Macaca fascicularis: one gene and its partner. The protein of the gene in region 2 purifies or fractionates together with the protein of the main gene of each other region. This does not show direct contact. Links are inferred from orthologs where the notes say so. Each region holds a gene or a part of one and is shown on either strand. Other genes may lie near its edges.

Region 1 (8,104 bases), on a different chromosome or scaffold from region 2:
AGGTTTAAATATAATTTAAAATGAAATTTTTAGAGGAGAAAAATATACATATATATATATATACACAATATGTATATTTATTTAAAACAGAACAATGTATATAGAGGTTGGTAGTTTAGTTGTCTGAAAACAACTATCCCTAAAGCTCCCAAGGACCTATAGGCAAGATGTGCAAGTTCCAGCTGATGAGATATATTCCTTCTTCTAAAACAGAGTACTTTCAGCTTTTTTTTTTTTACTGTTAACAGTAATATATACAGTAAATAGAGTTATTCACAGTGTAATACATTTTACATCATGATACACCCATATACAATTTAAGTAAAACAAACAAAAATTTACTAAACATTATATGAGATGCATTCTATTTCTTCTTTTTTTAAATGCTGGTCAAGAACCGCTAAATTTTGGTCACTCCTACAATTTGAAAAACACTGTTCCAGAAAAATCACAAAGATCTAGAATTCAATCCTCAATAAAAATGACTTCAGCAGATATTAAGGATGCTCTGAACTTTGCTCTTTCAGTGTCATCCAACTGTTCATCTTTAAAGTTGCCTAAGCTTGTGTTGATTGTATCTGTCAAAATTCCACACTAATTCTCTGCCAACAGACTCTTCTAAAGGTACACCACCACAATGGTAACATCATAAATTTGTGCACACAGCCTCTGGGATGCTACATAGGATCCAGAAATAGAGGTAGGACTTGATTTTACTATATTATTAAACCCAATAACATAAAGTGCCAGTTTTGGGTTTTTTTTTTTTTTAATGGTAAACTTCATAAACTTGATCAACTCTTCAAACAAGACTGAATTTTGCATATACAGTATTTCCCCCTTTTATCTGCAGTTTCAAATAAAATACCTGTGGTCAATTGCAGTCTGAAAATATTAAATGGAAAATTCAAATGAACAATTCCTAAGTTGTAAATTGCATGTTGTTCTGGGTAAAGTGATAAAAATCTCATACTGTCCTGTCTAAAGGTTGTGAATCAACCCTTCGTGCAGCATTTCCATACTGTATACACCAAGCTTGTCCAACCCACGGCCCAGGGACACGTGTGGCCCAGGACAGCTTTGAATGCAGTCCAACACAAGTTTGTAAACTTTTTAAAACATTATGAGATTTACACACAGATCTATTTATTTATTTATTTATAGCTCATCAGCTCTTGTTAGGGTAAGTGTATTTTACGTGTGGCCCAGGGAAGCCAAAAGATTGGACACCCCTAAGACTATCCAGCTGTTTGTCACTTAGTAGCTGTCTCAGTTACCAGATCAACTGTTGCAGTAATGCAATGCTCGTATTCTTATTTAATGACCCCAAAATACAAGAGTAGTGCTGGTATATTGTTATAATTGTTCCACTTTATTAGTTATTGCTATTCATCTCTTAACTGTGCCTAATTTATAAACTAAACTTTATCATAGGAGTGTACGCATGAAAAAACACAGTATATATAGGGTTTGGTACTATACAAGGTTTCAGGCATCCACCGGAGAATCTTGGAAAATATCCCTCAAAGATAATGGGGGACTAGTGTACAGTACCTAAAACCATTAGACTTAATTTGATTGTGTTCAAATGAACTCATTCTCCTTCTCAAATTTATTATATATCTCAATTATAGTAAAAAACTAGGGCTGGGCACGGTGGCTTACGCCTGTAATCCCAGCACTTTGGGGGGCTGAGGCGGGCAGATCACGAGGTCAGGAGATCAAGATCATCCTAACACACTGAAACCCAGCCTCTACTAAAAATACAAAATATTAGTCAGGCAAGGTGGCGGGTACCTGTAGTCCCAATGACTCGGGAGGCTGAGGCAGGAGAATGGCGTGAACCCAGGAGGACGAGCTTGCAGTGAGCCGAGATCACGCCACTGCACTCCAGCCTGGGCAACAGAGCGAGACTCCGTCTCAAAAAAAAAAAAAAAAGTAAATTAAAATAAAAAACTAGACAGGTGGCTGGGTGTGGTGGCTCATGCCTGTAATCCCAGCACTCTGGGAGGCCACGGTGGGCAGATTATCGGAGGTCAGGAGCTCCAGAACAGCCTGGTCAACATGGTGAAACCCCGTCTCTACTAAAAATAGAAAAAATTAGCCCGGCATGGTGGCTCACACCTATAATCCCAGCCACTTGGGAGGCTGAGGCAGGAAACTCGCTTGAACCTGGGAGGCGGTGGTTGCAGTGAGCTGAGATCGTGCCACTGGACTCTAGCCTGGGTGACAGAGTGAGACTCTGCCTCAAAAAAAAAAAAAGAAAACTAGAAAGGCTACCCATCTCTCTCCATTTACATAAAGGTATACGTGAGAAAACATAAATTTAATCTCTATGCCGCATCTAGGCTCCATCCTAAATTGCTAATATAGGTAAACGGAAAGATGACACCTACCTTCAGCCAATGTTAGCGCTTCCATGACTTTAACAGGAAGAGAAGATCCAAACGTTTTCACATCATAGTTCACAGACTCAGTTATGGAGTGGTGTGGGAACATTCGTGTTGGTGTTCCTCTAAAGAAAAAAGTCTAATTACCTTACTTATAACTTAAAATTTTCCATTATCCTAATTATTTATGTATATATTTTCACAATAAGGAGTTCTCTGAAAAAAATTAACACTGGCTCATATTTATCATGTAATTAAATGTAATATTTTTCATGTAAAAAGACAGGATTTAGGAAAACTTGGCTTCAATTCCATATGCTCTAGTAATAAAATGCATGCCTGTATTCACCTAAACTCCTTATAATTCTGCCTCTTTAGCTGTGAAATAAGGCTTAACTAGACCAGTGTTTTTTTCAAACAGTGGGTCGTTTTGCAGATCTCAATCAATATTTTTGAAAGACAGAATATAAAACATCAGCTTTTACCATATGTTGTGGTCAAATATATTTTACAAATATTGGCTTAGATGAGATTTAAGTTCTCATTTGGCTTTAGGGTTTTAAGAATCTACCAGATCTGGCTGGGGCAGTGGCTCATGCCTATAATCTCAGCACTTTGGGTGGCTGAAGTGGGAAGACTACTTGAGACCAAGAGTTCAAGACCAGCCTGGGCAACATGGCAAGACCTTGTCTCTACAAAAAAAATTTTACATTAGCCAGGCATTGTGGCACCAGCTTGTAGCCTGGGCGACAGAGAGTGAGACCCTGTCTCTTAAAAGAAAAATCTATCAGATCTGTACAACCAAGCAAGAAATCAAACAGGTTACGAGCATCAGCTGTTACATGGTCTTCAACAGCAGATATCAGAGTAAAAACTATTTCCTGCTCACACTCTTCTTAACATTTAGAATACTGTAAAGCCACCAGAATAAGTTATTCTATGTCTTATGAGAATTAAATGAGGAGATGCACATACAGAATGGCTGAGGGCTTTGTTTCTTGACAGAGGATAACAAAGGTTTTTATTCAAATGATCATCAGAAAGAAGAGATTTAAATAAAACAACATACATAGTAAATAAAGTACGCTTTTATTCTCCAACTTTTCGTTAAAGGAATAGAAAACAATGCCAAGATCTGCACTTTGTACTTTTCAAAATATGCCCAAAAAAAGTCACAAAGATACGGTGCATTCTTTAAAAACCACTTATCCTTTATAGTACTGCAAAATTTTACAGATAAATTTTAACCATAATTTCAAGACACAATACTCGGTGTTTTCCTGCAGGGAAAAATTCATTTATTATAGATGAATTCAGAGAAAACTATGCAGAAACACGTTATCTTCTAAAGTTTTAGGTTAATTGTGAACATGGTGTGTGTTGGGGGGCGGGGGGGAAGGGTGTGTGTGATTTTACTGGTGCTCCAAACCAGCAGTTTTAGTAACTAAATTACCACAGTACTCTTATCTCACTTATGTAAAGCCTTTTCCCTATAATTTACCTAGAAAGTTAAATTCCGTAGCTAGAAACCCTTCAATTACCAATCATCAGATATTAATGTCAGTTGGTATATTAGGCATTAAACAATTATATTTCAGGGTTGCAGGTCCTCATTATCACCATCACCTTACATCTGCATCGTGGCAATTCATACTAACTCCTCTGGCTCAGGTGACACATATTATCGCCATTTCACAGATGAAGAAAATCACGAGTGACTTACGCCCGATCACAGCGGTAGTAGGTGGGAAGTGGGTAACCATTGATGCGAATCCGGTTTGTACTTCACTTCTGCACAAAGGTATCCACGAAAAATGCAAAGTGGGGAATCAACTCAAAAAGTGAAGCAGGTATGACCTGCAAGAGCGGAAAACGTCTATTTTCCAATACTCTGGCATTCTCTTCCGCCGCCCCCGGTTCCGAAGGCTTCTGAAGACACTAACCGATCCGGCCCACTGCGGCCCGTGAGCCTGCTGGTTGCCAGACCCAACCAAGGAGATCACTTACCGCGAACTTAGTGAGCTACGCCGGCCCACCGGTGAGAAGAGCACTGGAGAGCTGACTGCAGACCCCAGGGGCAGACCCTTCCTGCTGGCCGTCCGGGGCGTGGAGCCGGGCCCGAGTCCGGCCAGGGGGCCCCTTCGGGACCCGGGACCCGGGGTCCGCGGAGAAGGGGCGGCTGGGAACATGATTCGAAGGAGCAGAGACTTGGACGGCGAGGTATCTGGCCGTCGGGTTTCAGCGCGGCCTGCGCGCGGAGATTAAACACCTAAGGGGAGGGATGGCGCGCGATGATGACGTCAAACGCAGTGGCTCTCGCGAGTTGCGGTAGGAGCGCTGGCGGGGGCGTGATCGTGACGTTAAGGGCGGCGCCCAGCCCGCGGGGGAGGTCGGGAAGGCGGCCCGTGGCCGCAGATCCAGAACCGTTGGAGTGCAGAGCTTCCAGGGACGTGAAGCCGCAAAGCCGGGCCTCCTTCTTGACTGCGCCTGGTTGGAACTGGCCCTCCAGCAACTTGAACGCAGCCTCTTTTCACACTGGTAGTTCCTGAGACTCTTGTGAAATGAAAGATGTTCCTCAGTCCAAGCTGAGGACGGAGAAAAGCCTTTTGTAAAGCTGACACTGGTATCGCACTGTGATATTTGCTGTTTTCTAGGTTTGCCATTTTCCCATTCAACTTTGCACAGTTTCTTCCACGCTAATGACGCCATAAATCCGTGTCTCTAACCTGGATCCAGCTCAAAACCCCCAGACCCCTATCAAATCAGCTCCCTAGGGGACACATTCACCTGTAAGTCTTGCGGACTCCTCACAATCCGCTTATGAAAAGCACATTCATGTTTTCCTTTTAGGACCCCTCTTCTACCACCATCTCTGTCCCAGCTTGGTAAGACTGGCCAGTTGTCCAAGGCAAAGAGAGGAGTTCTATCTGCAGTCATCCCTCACACTTACCTCCACCCTAAGATCCTGGTATACGTTGTAGCTCCTACGTATCTGTGTTAGATCACACATTTGCACCGCCTCTGCCCTGGTTCTGGTACTTTTCTTCAACCACTGCGTAGCCTCTTTACTGCCAGCGGGAGGGAGTGGGAGAGACGAGAGACGGGGAGATGGTTCCTTACCTGTGTCTAGTCTGACTCCACTCTATCTTCTCAGTGCCAACCCAATGAATTAAGGCAAACCTAATGCTGCTCTTGGGCCTGTAAATGCTTCAGTGGCTGACCATTGCCAGTAGTTATTTGCTAAGCTCCTTTGCAAGGTCTTATGTGATCTAAGTCAGGTTGGCTTTTCTGTCCGTGTTGTACTTCCACCACTTCCCACTTGTACTCCACATTCCAAGAACTTAAAAACCCAAATCCCCCTCCATTGCGCATATACATGTTTCACCTGGAATGCACTCTGTGCCTTGTTGGTCCGGAAGGCGCCTACCTTACGCATCAAGTCAGTTCTGTGCTGCCTTCTCAGTGAAACCTTCCACAGGATTAGATACCCCTTATCCTTTTTGTCCTCTCTGCTCCTTTGTGTAGACTGTATTTTTATCCTGCATAATAGTTTGTTTTCATAACTGTCTCTCAAGTACCTCCTTGTAAATGTCTTTTAAAAGCAGCAGGAGCAGTGACTTTGTTACCTTTGTGGCACACAGTAACAGACATATAGTAGACTTTCATTCAACACGTGTTGAAATAAGGGAATGGTTAAGTAAACACTGATGTATCCACATGTGGGAGACCACAGTGTGGGTGTCAGTTGTTGACATTCCCCTGGGAAGCCAGTCATCGATCTATGCATGTCAGTGGCATCTGAGCAGTTATCTTGCCAAGGTTCCATAGGCTAGCTGCTTTACTCCTTCTCCAACCTGGGTGTCTAATCCAACTTGGCAGCTTGTTGAGTCTTAGGGCTCTGAGAGCCCAGTGCATTTCCCTCCTGTTTCATTCTTACAAGGAGGGGTGTGAAATAGGCAATAAAGAGTATTAATAGTTGTGTCTGAGAGGATTGGTGGGATCAATTGTATTCTTGTGCCTTGTTGGACTGGTTAGTGGTTCCCCCACCATCCTATTGTAAAAGCTGTTGTTTGCAGGAGTTAGAATGACTTGCCGGCACCTTTGAGCAAGAACTTTCCTGGAGTCCAAATGTATGACTTGAAGGATAGTGAGCAGACAGCACTAAAAGTCATCCATTCGTTATGGATTTAGTGAGTACCTACTATTTGTCAGGCTATGTGATAAGTGCTAAGGTTTATAACTAAACAAAGCCCAACGGGTCCCACCCTCATGGAGATTACAGACCAACGAGAAAGACACTGAAAAAATGAACACAAATATCCAGCTACAAGCTGAGATGTGTACTATGAAATAAAACAGCAAAGTGTATGAGAGAGAATCACTGGGGCTACCTATTTTTGGATGGAGGTCTATAAAGGCCTCTGGGAGAAAAGGACATTTAACCTGAGACATGAAGCATAAGAGAATGCGAGGAAGAATATTTCAGGCAGAGGATCCTTGGCCAAAGGTCCTGAAGCAGCAAAGGACTTGGTGCATTCTAGGGACTTTATTTATTTTTATTTTACTTTATTATTTTTCTAGCGATTGGGTCTTACTCTGTTGCCCAGGCTGGAGTGCAGTGGCGTGATCAAAGCTCACCACATCCTTGACCTGGGCATCAGTGATCCTCCTGCCTCAGCCTCAGAGTTGGGACCATGGGCATGTACCACCACGCCTGCCTATTTTTTATTTATATATACATTTTTAGAAATGGGGTCTCACCGCCAGGCACAATGGCTCACGTCTGTAATCGCAGAACCTTGCAAGGCTAAGGTGTGGGAGGATGGCTTGAGGCCGGTAGTTCAAGACCAGCCCCTGGGCAACATAGTGAGACCCTGTCTCCCCAAGAAATTTTATTTTAAATTCTAAAAAAATACAATTTAAAAAATGGGGTCTTGCTATATTTCCCAGGCTGGTCTCAAACTCCTGTGGCTTTAAGTGATCCTCCAGCCTCAGCCTCCTGAGTAGCTGGGATTAGAACCAGGGACTTTAAACAGACAAATCAACCTGAAAGACTAAAAGTAAAGGAAATTGGAGAAATAAGGAGAGACTATGAAGGGCCTTTAGGCTCTGTCAAATAAGATCCTAGAGAACGCCGGGCGTGGTGGCTCACGCCTGTAATTCCAGCACTTTGGGAGGCCCAGGCAGGTGGATTGCCTGAGGTCAGGAGTTCAAGACCAGTCTGGCCAACATGATGAAATCCCGTCTCTACTAAAAATACCAAAAAATTAGCTGGGCATGGTGGTGTGCACCTGTAATCCTAGCTACTTGGGAGGCTGAGGCTGGGGAATTGCTTGAGCCAGGAAGGTGGAGGTTGCAGTGAGCCGTGATGGCGCCACTGCACTCCAACCTGGGCAACAGAGCAAAACTCTGTCTCAAAAAACAGAAAAGAAAAAATCCTAGAGAAAACAGATGGTACCCTCAAGCTAGGTAGTTAAAAGAATTTAATAAAGGAATGTTAGAGCCTGAGGGCGGTGGCTTACACCTGTAATCCCAGCACTTTGGGAGGCCAATGTGGGCAGATCACCTGAGGTCAGGAGTTCGAGACCAGCCTGGCCAACCTGGTGAAATCCCGTCTCTACTAAAAATACAAAAATTAGCTAGGCGTGGTGGTGCGCATCTGTAGTCCCAGCTATTTGGGTGGCTGAGGCAGGAGAATCACTTAAACCTTGGAG
Region 2 (8,057 bases):
CAAAGTGCTGCGATTGCCAGGGTGAGCCACCACACCCAGCCTAACTTTTGTATTTTTAATAGAGACAAGGTTTTGCCATGTTGGCCAGGCTGGGATTTTTCTTACCTATGGTTCTTACAGCTTCCTTGTGATCAGCTCTGAAGAGATTTATTCGACCATCCTCTCCAACTGTAACGATTTCTGGGTTATTGCACACAACACCTGTACATGGTGCACTGCTATAGGAAGGACTGCCAGGGCCTGCGTGGTAGTGAGCTGTAGTCCACTGCTGGTTGACTGACAGAGTCTAGGCATCAGAAATGAGGATACTATTAAAGAAAAGTACTAAGGAACTAGCACTTCTTACCAACAAGAGTATCTTTAAATTCTGACTCACATCCTTCTACAAGAATAAATCTTTTTTCCTTTAGAATAATGAAATCTAGAAACTACTTGCATCAAAGTTCTGTATACATAGAATTAGATTCAAAAGAAATACTGTTTAATAATGCCCCACATTTATCTCAAACTACAGTAATGACTTTTAGGGATCAAGCAGTTGGATGTTCAAAAGCAACTCTTTGTATTCTTATGGAAATTAACCTACATCTAAAATATAAATCTCTGGCCCATGGCTGTGGCTCATGCCTGTAATCCTAGCACTTTGGGAGGCCAAGGCAGGCAGATCATCTGAGGTCAGGAGTTCGAGACCAGCCTGGTCAATATGGTGAAATCCCATCTCTACTAAAAATACAAAAATTAGCCAGGTATGGTGGCACACACCTGTAATCCCAGCTACTTGGGAAGCTAAGGTGGGAGAATTGCTTGAACCAGGGAGGTGCAGGCTGCAGTGAGCAGAGATCGTGCCACTGCACTCCAGCCTGGGCGACAGAGAGAGACTCTGTCTCAAAATAAATAAATTAATTAATTAAAAAAATATTAATCTCTGTAGCTTTTTCTAAATGACTCAAAAAACCTTTAACACGAACTGGGTCTTATATTTACTAGGCATGTCTATTAGAAACGTTACCTTTGGCCGGGAGCAGTGGCTTATGCCTATAATCCCAGCACTTTGGGAGGGTGAAGAGGGCTGATCACCTGAGGTCAGGAGTTCGAGATCAGCCTGACCAACATGGAGAAACCCCGTCTCTACGAAAAATATAAAATTAGCCGGGCATGGTGTCACATGCCTGTAATCCCAGCTACTTGGGAGGCTGAGGCAGGAGAATCACTTGAAGCTGGAAGGCGGAGCTTGTGATGAGCCGAGATTGTGCCATTGCACTCCAGTGCCTGGGCAAAAAGAGCAGAACTCCATCTCCAAAAAAAAAAAAAAATCACTTTTCAAACTGAAGTTCTTTACCTGGTTATTCGGATGGTGAAGGAAAACTGTTACACATCCTGTTGATGAAGCAGTGACAATTCTTTCCTGGTCAAAAAACTAAAGAGAAAATTTCTGCTTGTTAAAGACTCAGAAATACTAGCAGGGAGGAAATCTATTCATTTATTTAACTCAATTAGTAGCAAATGATAACAATTTTAAAAAGCAAAGAGCCTATGAGTGCTAAGCAAATAACATGTGTTAATGGAGCTGAAAGTCCAAACTGCCATACAAAGCATTTTCATGAATAAACAGTATTTTTTTCCTAGACACATTTACCCGCCATTGATTTAATTTGAGACCAACACAATAAAACGTTAGAAAAATACCATTCCTGGCTGGGTGCGGTGGCTCACGCCTGTAATCCCAGCACTTTGAGAGGCCTAGGCGGACAGATCGCTTGAGTTCAGGAGTTCAAGACCACCCTGGGCAATGTGGCGAGACCTCGTCTCTACGAAAATACAAAAATGAGTCGGGGTTGTGGGGAAGCGGAGCTTGCAGCGAGCCAAGATCGAGCCCCTGCATTCCGGCCTGGTTGACAGAGCAAGACTCAGTTTCAAAAACAGAATAAAAATTTTTAAAAAGAAAAGCCAGGCGCGGTGGCTCATGCCTGTAATCCCAGCACTTTGGGAGGCTGAAGCAGGCAGATCACGAGGCCAGGAGTTTGAGACCAGCCTGGCCAATATGTTGAAACCCCGTCTCTACTAAAAACACAAAAATTAGCTGGGCGTGGTGGCAGGTGCCTGTACTCCCAGCTACTCAGCAGGCTGAGGCAGAAGAATCGCTTGAACCCAGAAGGCAGGGTTGCAGTGAGCCGAGATAGTGCCACTGCACCACTCCAGCTTGGGCGACAGAGCAAGACTCCATCTCAAAAAAAAAAAAAAAGAAAAAAAGAAAGGAAAAATATTGTCCTGGCATGGTGGCTCACGCCTGTAATCCTAGCACTTCAGGAGGCCAAGCCGGGTGAACCACGAGGTCAGGAGTTCAAGACCAGCCTGGCCAACATAGTGAAACCCCATCTCTACTAAAAACACAAAAATTAGCCAGGCATGGAGGCATATGCCTGTTGTCCCAGTTACTCAACGCTGAGGCAGAAGAACTGCATGAACCCAGGAGGCAGAGGTTGCAGTGAGCTGAGATCGTGCCACTGCACTCCAGCTCAGGTGACAGTGTGAGACTCCGTCTCAAAAAAAAAAAAAAAAAAAGATCTTTCCTAGGGCTAGATAGCTTTCTTCTCTTTCTTCTCTCTGTCTCTTTTTCTTTCTTTTTTTTTTTTGGGACAGTGTTTCGCTCTTGTTGCCCAGACTGGCGTGCACTCAGCTTACTGTAACCTCTGCGCCCAGGTTCAAGCAATTCTCCTGCCTCAGCTTCCCGAGTAGCTAGGATTACAGGCGTACACCAGGGCTAGGTAGCTTTCTATAGAATAAAATGCAGGGGCTCTCCACACCAGGATTTGAAAACTTAATTTCGGCCAGGCACAGTGGCTCACTCCTGCAATCCCAGCACTTTGGGAGGCCGAGATCAGGAGTTCAAGACCATCCTGGTTAATATGGTGAAACCCCGTCTCTACTAAAAATACAAACAATTAGCCGGGTGTGGTGGCCTGTGCCTGTAGTCCCAGCTACCTGGGAGGCTGAGGCAGGAGAATCGCTTGAATCCGGGAAGTGGAGGCTGTAGTGAGCCGAGATCATGCCACTGTACTCCAGCCGGGGAGACAGAGTGAGACTTCACCTCAAAAAAAAAAAAAAAGAAAAAAAGAAAGCTCAATTTCATCCCCACCACTCACTACTGGTTTTGAGACTTTGGCCAAGTTAAGTTCACTAAATCGTGGTAAATCTTTAAAACGGGAGCACTAATCTCTGCTTAGGGAGTTGTCATGAGAATTCAAAAAACAAAATGATGTTAATCCCCCTGCACAGTATCTGTCACATAGTACATGCTTAAGATATGTTAGTCTCAATTTTCTCATTAGTAAAACAAAGTAACAATACTTGATATACCGGCAACCAATAATAATTAATTTTTGTAAAGCTCCCCAAACGGTACTTAGCACATAGTCGACGGTCAATAAATAAAAAAGTATGATTAAATCTACATCCCCTTTCCCAGTCCTTTTTCTGCCACTAAATGGCTAAATGATGTCGGCCAAATCATAACTTACAGAGCACTCAGTTTTTTGTAAATGAGGGGTGATACAAGACAACCTTTATGATGCTCTGCTTGTTTAAATGTATTACTCAGGACTTTCAAAGTTAGCTTTTGGATGCTACACAGATTTACCTGTAAATCCATGACATCACCATGGTGTCTGATATCACACAATAATTGATGGTCTCCTTCAAACCCTCCATCAGAGTCCAAGTTTCCAAAATCTCCAATAGACCACAGTGAAACATAATTTTCCTGTAAAACAAAGAGTTTTGTCTTGAGATGACATAAACGTCAACTATCGGAAAATAAAAGTTGCGCTTCCGTCCAGAAAGCTTGCTCCAAAACATCTCAGACAAATAGTATGGTGAGTTTAAAACGTAACGAGATATGAGGCTCAGGCACACCATCACGGGTTCTGAGCTATGGCGCAACCGCGCCTGAGACAGGGTCCGAGGGACCTAGAAGTGCGAGAAAAACCAGAAGGTGGGAGTTGGCGCGCGCGCGGCCAGGGGTCAGCTCAACCGGAGGGAGGGAAGAGGCAGGGGCTCGTCCCTATCAGCAGGGATACCTCATTGTCCCAAGATCCGGTAGCAAACGTCTCCGCGGTTTGCAAACTTCCGGGAGGCAGCGGTCGCCAGCGGGTTTTGCTGATTTTCTGAGACACAAACTTCGCATAAATTTCCTCCATGCCGAAAGCAGCCGCAGCAGGCACTGCAAAAAGCAAGCACAACGCGCGCCTCTCAGCCCCGCCTCTTCCCGCGGAACCCTGATTGGATGGGACTTTAGGAGGGAGACGGTGGCTGCAGAGAGTCAATTCTCTTCGGTAGCCAGTGTGGGCACGGTCAGTATACAAACTGGGAGAACCTAGACCGAGAGGCCCATCTCCTAGAGCGACTCTGAGCAAAGGCAAGAGCGCTTTGGCCTTTGAGCAGTAGGACTTGCTCCTAATCTAAAATATCAGTATTTTCTTGTGTTCAATAATTGTGCAGTGTAAAATTTAAGAGCAAAAATAGAACAAAATCAATACAGTAGAAACCACCTTGAAACCACACCTAAGCAGTTGCAGGTCACTGCGCATAGAAAACAATTCAAAAATCCTTAAATACTCATGGAAGTACCTCGAATACAGTGCCAACCTACTATCCTAAACCTCTCCCTCTTGTCCCCCAAACAAATACTTTGCTTGAAAGTTAATACACACTGTCAGAGCCTGGAGTTAGAATTCTGAAAGACTCCAGTTTTAGTTTTGATGCCAATTGCCTAGCTTTGGTCAATTTAATTATGTGCATGATTAAGAATGAGGTTTGTGATATCTATTGTCAATAGCCCAGGAATCAGTTTTCTAGGTTCCTTCTGTGCTTTTGGTTACACCTATAATATTCTTCCCTTCCTCTTTACTCCTCAGAATCCTGCCTATCCTTCAAGGATCTGTTCTTTCCTTAACCATTTCCTGATGCCCCCAGCCAATGTTGATCTAAATCAACATCGCTTTTTTTCTTTTTGAAGACAGGGTCTCACTCTGTGGCCCAGGTTGAAGTGCAGTGGCACAATCTCAGCTCACTGCAACCTCCGCCTCCCAGATTAAAGTGATTCTCTCACCTCAGCTTCCAGGGTAGCTGGGACTACAGGTGCGTGTCACCATGCCTGGCTATTTTTTTTTTTTTTTGGTAGAGACGGGATTTTACCATATTGGCCAGGCTGGTCTCGAACTCCTGACCTCAGGTGATCCGCCTGCCTTGTCCTCCCAAAGTGCTGGGATTACAGGCGTGAGCTTGCATTTGATATCTAGGCCACTATTACATATATTTTGGATATATTCTATCGTTAGTTTTCTTAAGATGCATATTCCTCCCTAATTAGAATGTAAATCCGGCCGGGCGCGGTGGCTCAAGCCTGTAATCCCAGCATTTTGGGAGGCCGAGACGGGCGGATCATGAGGTCAGGAGATGGAGACCATCCTGGCTAACCCGGTGAAACTCCGTCTCTACTAAAAAAATACAAAAAACTAGCCGGGCGAGGTGGCGGGCGCCTGTAGTCCCAGCTACTCGGGAGGCTGAGGCAGGAGAATGGCGTGAACCCGGGAGGCGGAGCTTGCAGTGAGCTGAGATCCAGCCACTGCACTCTAGCCTGGGCGACAGAATTAGACTCCGTCTCAAAAAAAAAAGAATAAAAAAAGAATGTAAATCCTACTGAATACAAGAGGTATGACTTATCTAAAAAATGAACCTCTTTAATACTACAGGTATTCATAACTGTATGTTGGTTGTTTCTTTAAAAAGGGCCATTATGCTATTGTTGTTTTTATGTGATATTGGTAGTCCTACTTCACAGGGACAGTTTAGGGAAGCACTGCATGTAAATGCAATCCGTCTGGCTCAGCTTTAGAGTTATCAGGTTCCTATCAAGGATTTGACTTTTTTCTTTTCACCAAATGGAAGATCATCAAGAAACTGTAGAAAAGATGAAATGGAAAATATTAAGTGGGTTACAGTCCCAAATCAACAATTTATTCATGTTTAATATTGAAGTAAAGAACACTGTTTTGGCTGGGCACGGTGGCTCATGCCTGTAATTCCAGCACTTTGGGAGATCGAGGCAGGCAGATCACGAGGTCAGGAGTTCAAGACCAGCCTGGCCAACATGGTGAAACTCTACTACTAAAAATACAAAAAAATTAGCTGGGCATGGTGGTCGTGCCTGTAATTCCAGCTACCCGGGAGGCTGCGGCAGAATTCCTTGAACGCGGACCTGGGAGGCGGAGGTTGCAGTGAGCCAAGATCGTGCCACTGCATTCCAGCCTGGGCTACTGAGCGAGACTCCGTCTCAAAAAACAAAAACAAAAACAAAAAACCCAGTTTTGTCAGTAGTTTCATTTATGGTCACAGAATCCCAGAAAATAGGTAGTGACGATTTTGGATGGGAAACAGGCCAGTGTCACATTTTACAAAATCGGGTAAGAACTAGAATTTGAAAATTGTGCTGACATAGTAGCACAGATGTCTTAGCCTTGTTTCCTTCCAACAGATTACTGGAGGCCGGGCGCAATGGCTTACGCCTGTAATCCCAGCACTTGGGGAGGCGGACGAGGGCAGATCCCGAGGTCAGGAGATCGAGACCATCCTGGCTAACACGGTGAAACCCCGTCTCTACTAAAAATACAAAAAATTAGCCGGGCGTGGTGGCGGGCGCCTGTAGTCTCAGCTACTCAGGAGGCTGAACCCGGGAGGCGGAGCTTGCAGTGAGCCGAGATCGCGCCACTGCACTCCAGCCTGGGCGACAGAGCGAGACTCTGTCTCAAAAAAAAAAAAAAAGAAAGAAAAAAAAAAAGATTACTGGACTAAGTGATGGCTGGATTCTGTCAGTCTCAGGTCAAATTACGAGTCAGCGATTTGGACGCGACAAGCAATGTTCTCAGTGAGCTTCTCACTCATGGTCTTGCAGAGCTGATAGCAATAAAGCTATGGTGGAATTTGTGAGGCTTAATTAGGTGGAAATGCACACTTTTGTCGGGAGAATAACACGTTCACCAGCGGACACAGTGGTATTTTTTAACCAATCGCAATTCTTTACGTTCGTATTATTCTAAGGGAGCAAAGCTTTGCCCCAACCCCCACCCCCATGTCCTGGTATTCTTCCACTCCCTGACAGCTTTAGAACCAGGGTTCCAAAGTCTTTGCTTAGCCTAACGGTGACATGTTTGTCACAAAGCCAGAGGCCGGTGTACTCGGGTTAGAGAGGGCCTTTGTCGTTGGGTTTTATTCTTATTGTGTTATTCGGGCTCCACAGACCCAAATACCAGTCAACTGGGTTGGGCGAGGTAGGAACGGATGAAGCCCACCGTCTAACAATCTGGACATCTATAGGAGGAGATCCGCCGCTCGAAACAGCTGACCCAGCAGCGACTGCGGAACCACAAGGAGCGTCTGCAAAGATCGACCCCGCCATCCCGCCGTCCCGCTCGGTGACCGGAGACGCAGCCGGGAACGCGACTGATCAGGCTACGGAGCCCGGCCGCAGGGCGAAGTCGGTGCGGTTCGAGGCCTCAGAAAGGGACACGCAGCAGCGGCGGTGGCGCTGACTCAGCCTGGCCTCCCTGCAGTCCCCCTGGCAGCCGCAGCAGCCACAGCAGCCACACGCGCGGGCAGCTGGGCCACACGCTTCCCCCGCCCTCGGCCCCACCCGGCCGCACCCTAGGCCGCGCGGCGTCACAGAGCGCATGCGTGCCGCGGGGGATGCCGGGAGCGCGCAGTGGCGGCAGCAGCGGCGACGGCAGTAACAGCGGCAGCTACAGCGGGGACGCGAGCGGGGCGGTGACGGTGTGGGAGGTGGTCTCACTCTTGGGAAAACTGCTGGGCACCGTCGCCGCGCTGAAGGTGGTTCTGTACCTGCTCCGAGTGTGCTTAGCGATGGCCTGGAAATCCGGCGGCGCCAGCCACTCGGAGCTAATCCACAATCTCCGCAGTAAGTGCCACCTCCGCCCGTTGTAGGGCAGCTAGGGCAGGCTGGGCCTGGACCGGGTCCCCCTGGGCCGTCTGGAACGTTCTGTCTG

What was found.
Region 1: the proteins of NUP43 (region 2) and NUP133 purify together in Homo sapiens (affinity purification with mass spectrometry; 5 studies listed by BioGRID and IntAct, counting the BioPlex papers as one, with this or other methods). This does not show direct contact. The link is inferred for Macaca fascicularis from reciprocal best matches to the Homo sapiens genes NUP43 and NUP133.

What each region holds. Positions count from the first base shown.
Region 1 is NC_088375.1:19,595,010-19,603,113, reverse strand, and holds the start of NUP133 (nuclear pore complex protein Nup133), read right to left. Parts: upstream 4,690-8,104; 5' UTR 4,580-4,689; coding exon 4,398-4,579; intron 2,516-4,397; coding exon 2,397-2,515; intron 1-2,396. UniProt on the Homo sapiens protein: Involved in poly(A)+ RNA transport. Involved in nephrogenesis.
Region 2 is NC_088378.1:57,731,648-57,739,704, forward strand, and holds the start of NUP43 (nucleoporin Nup43), read right to left. Parts: upstream 4,231-8,057; 5' UTR 4,197-4,230; coding exon 4,077-4,196; intron 3,761-4,076; coding exon 3,638-3,760; intron 1,418-3,637; coding exon 1,340-1,417; intron 287-1,339; coding exon 106-286; intron 1-105. Other genes in the region: PCMT1 (protein-L-isoaspartate(D-aspartate) O-methyltransferase), read left to right, coding at 7,741-7,969. UniProt on the Homo sapiens protein: Component of the Nup107-160 subcomplex of the nuclear pore complex (NPC). The Nup107-160 subcomplex is required for the assembly of a functional NPC.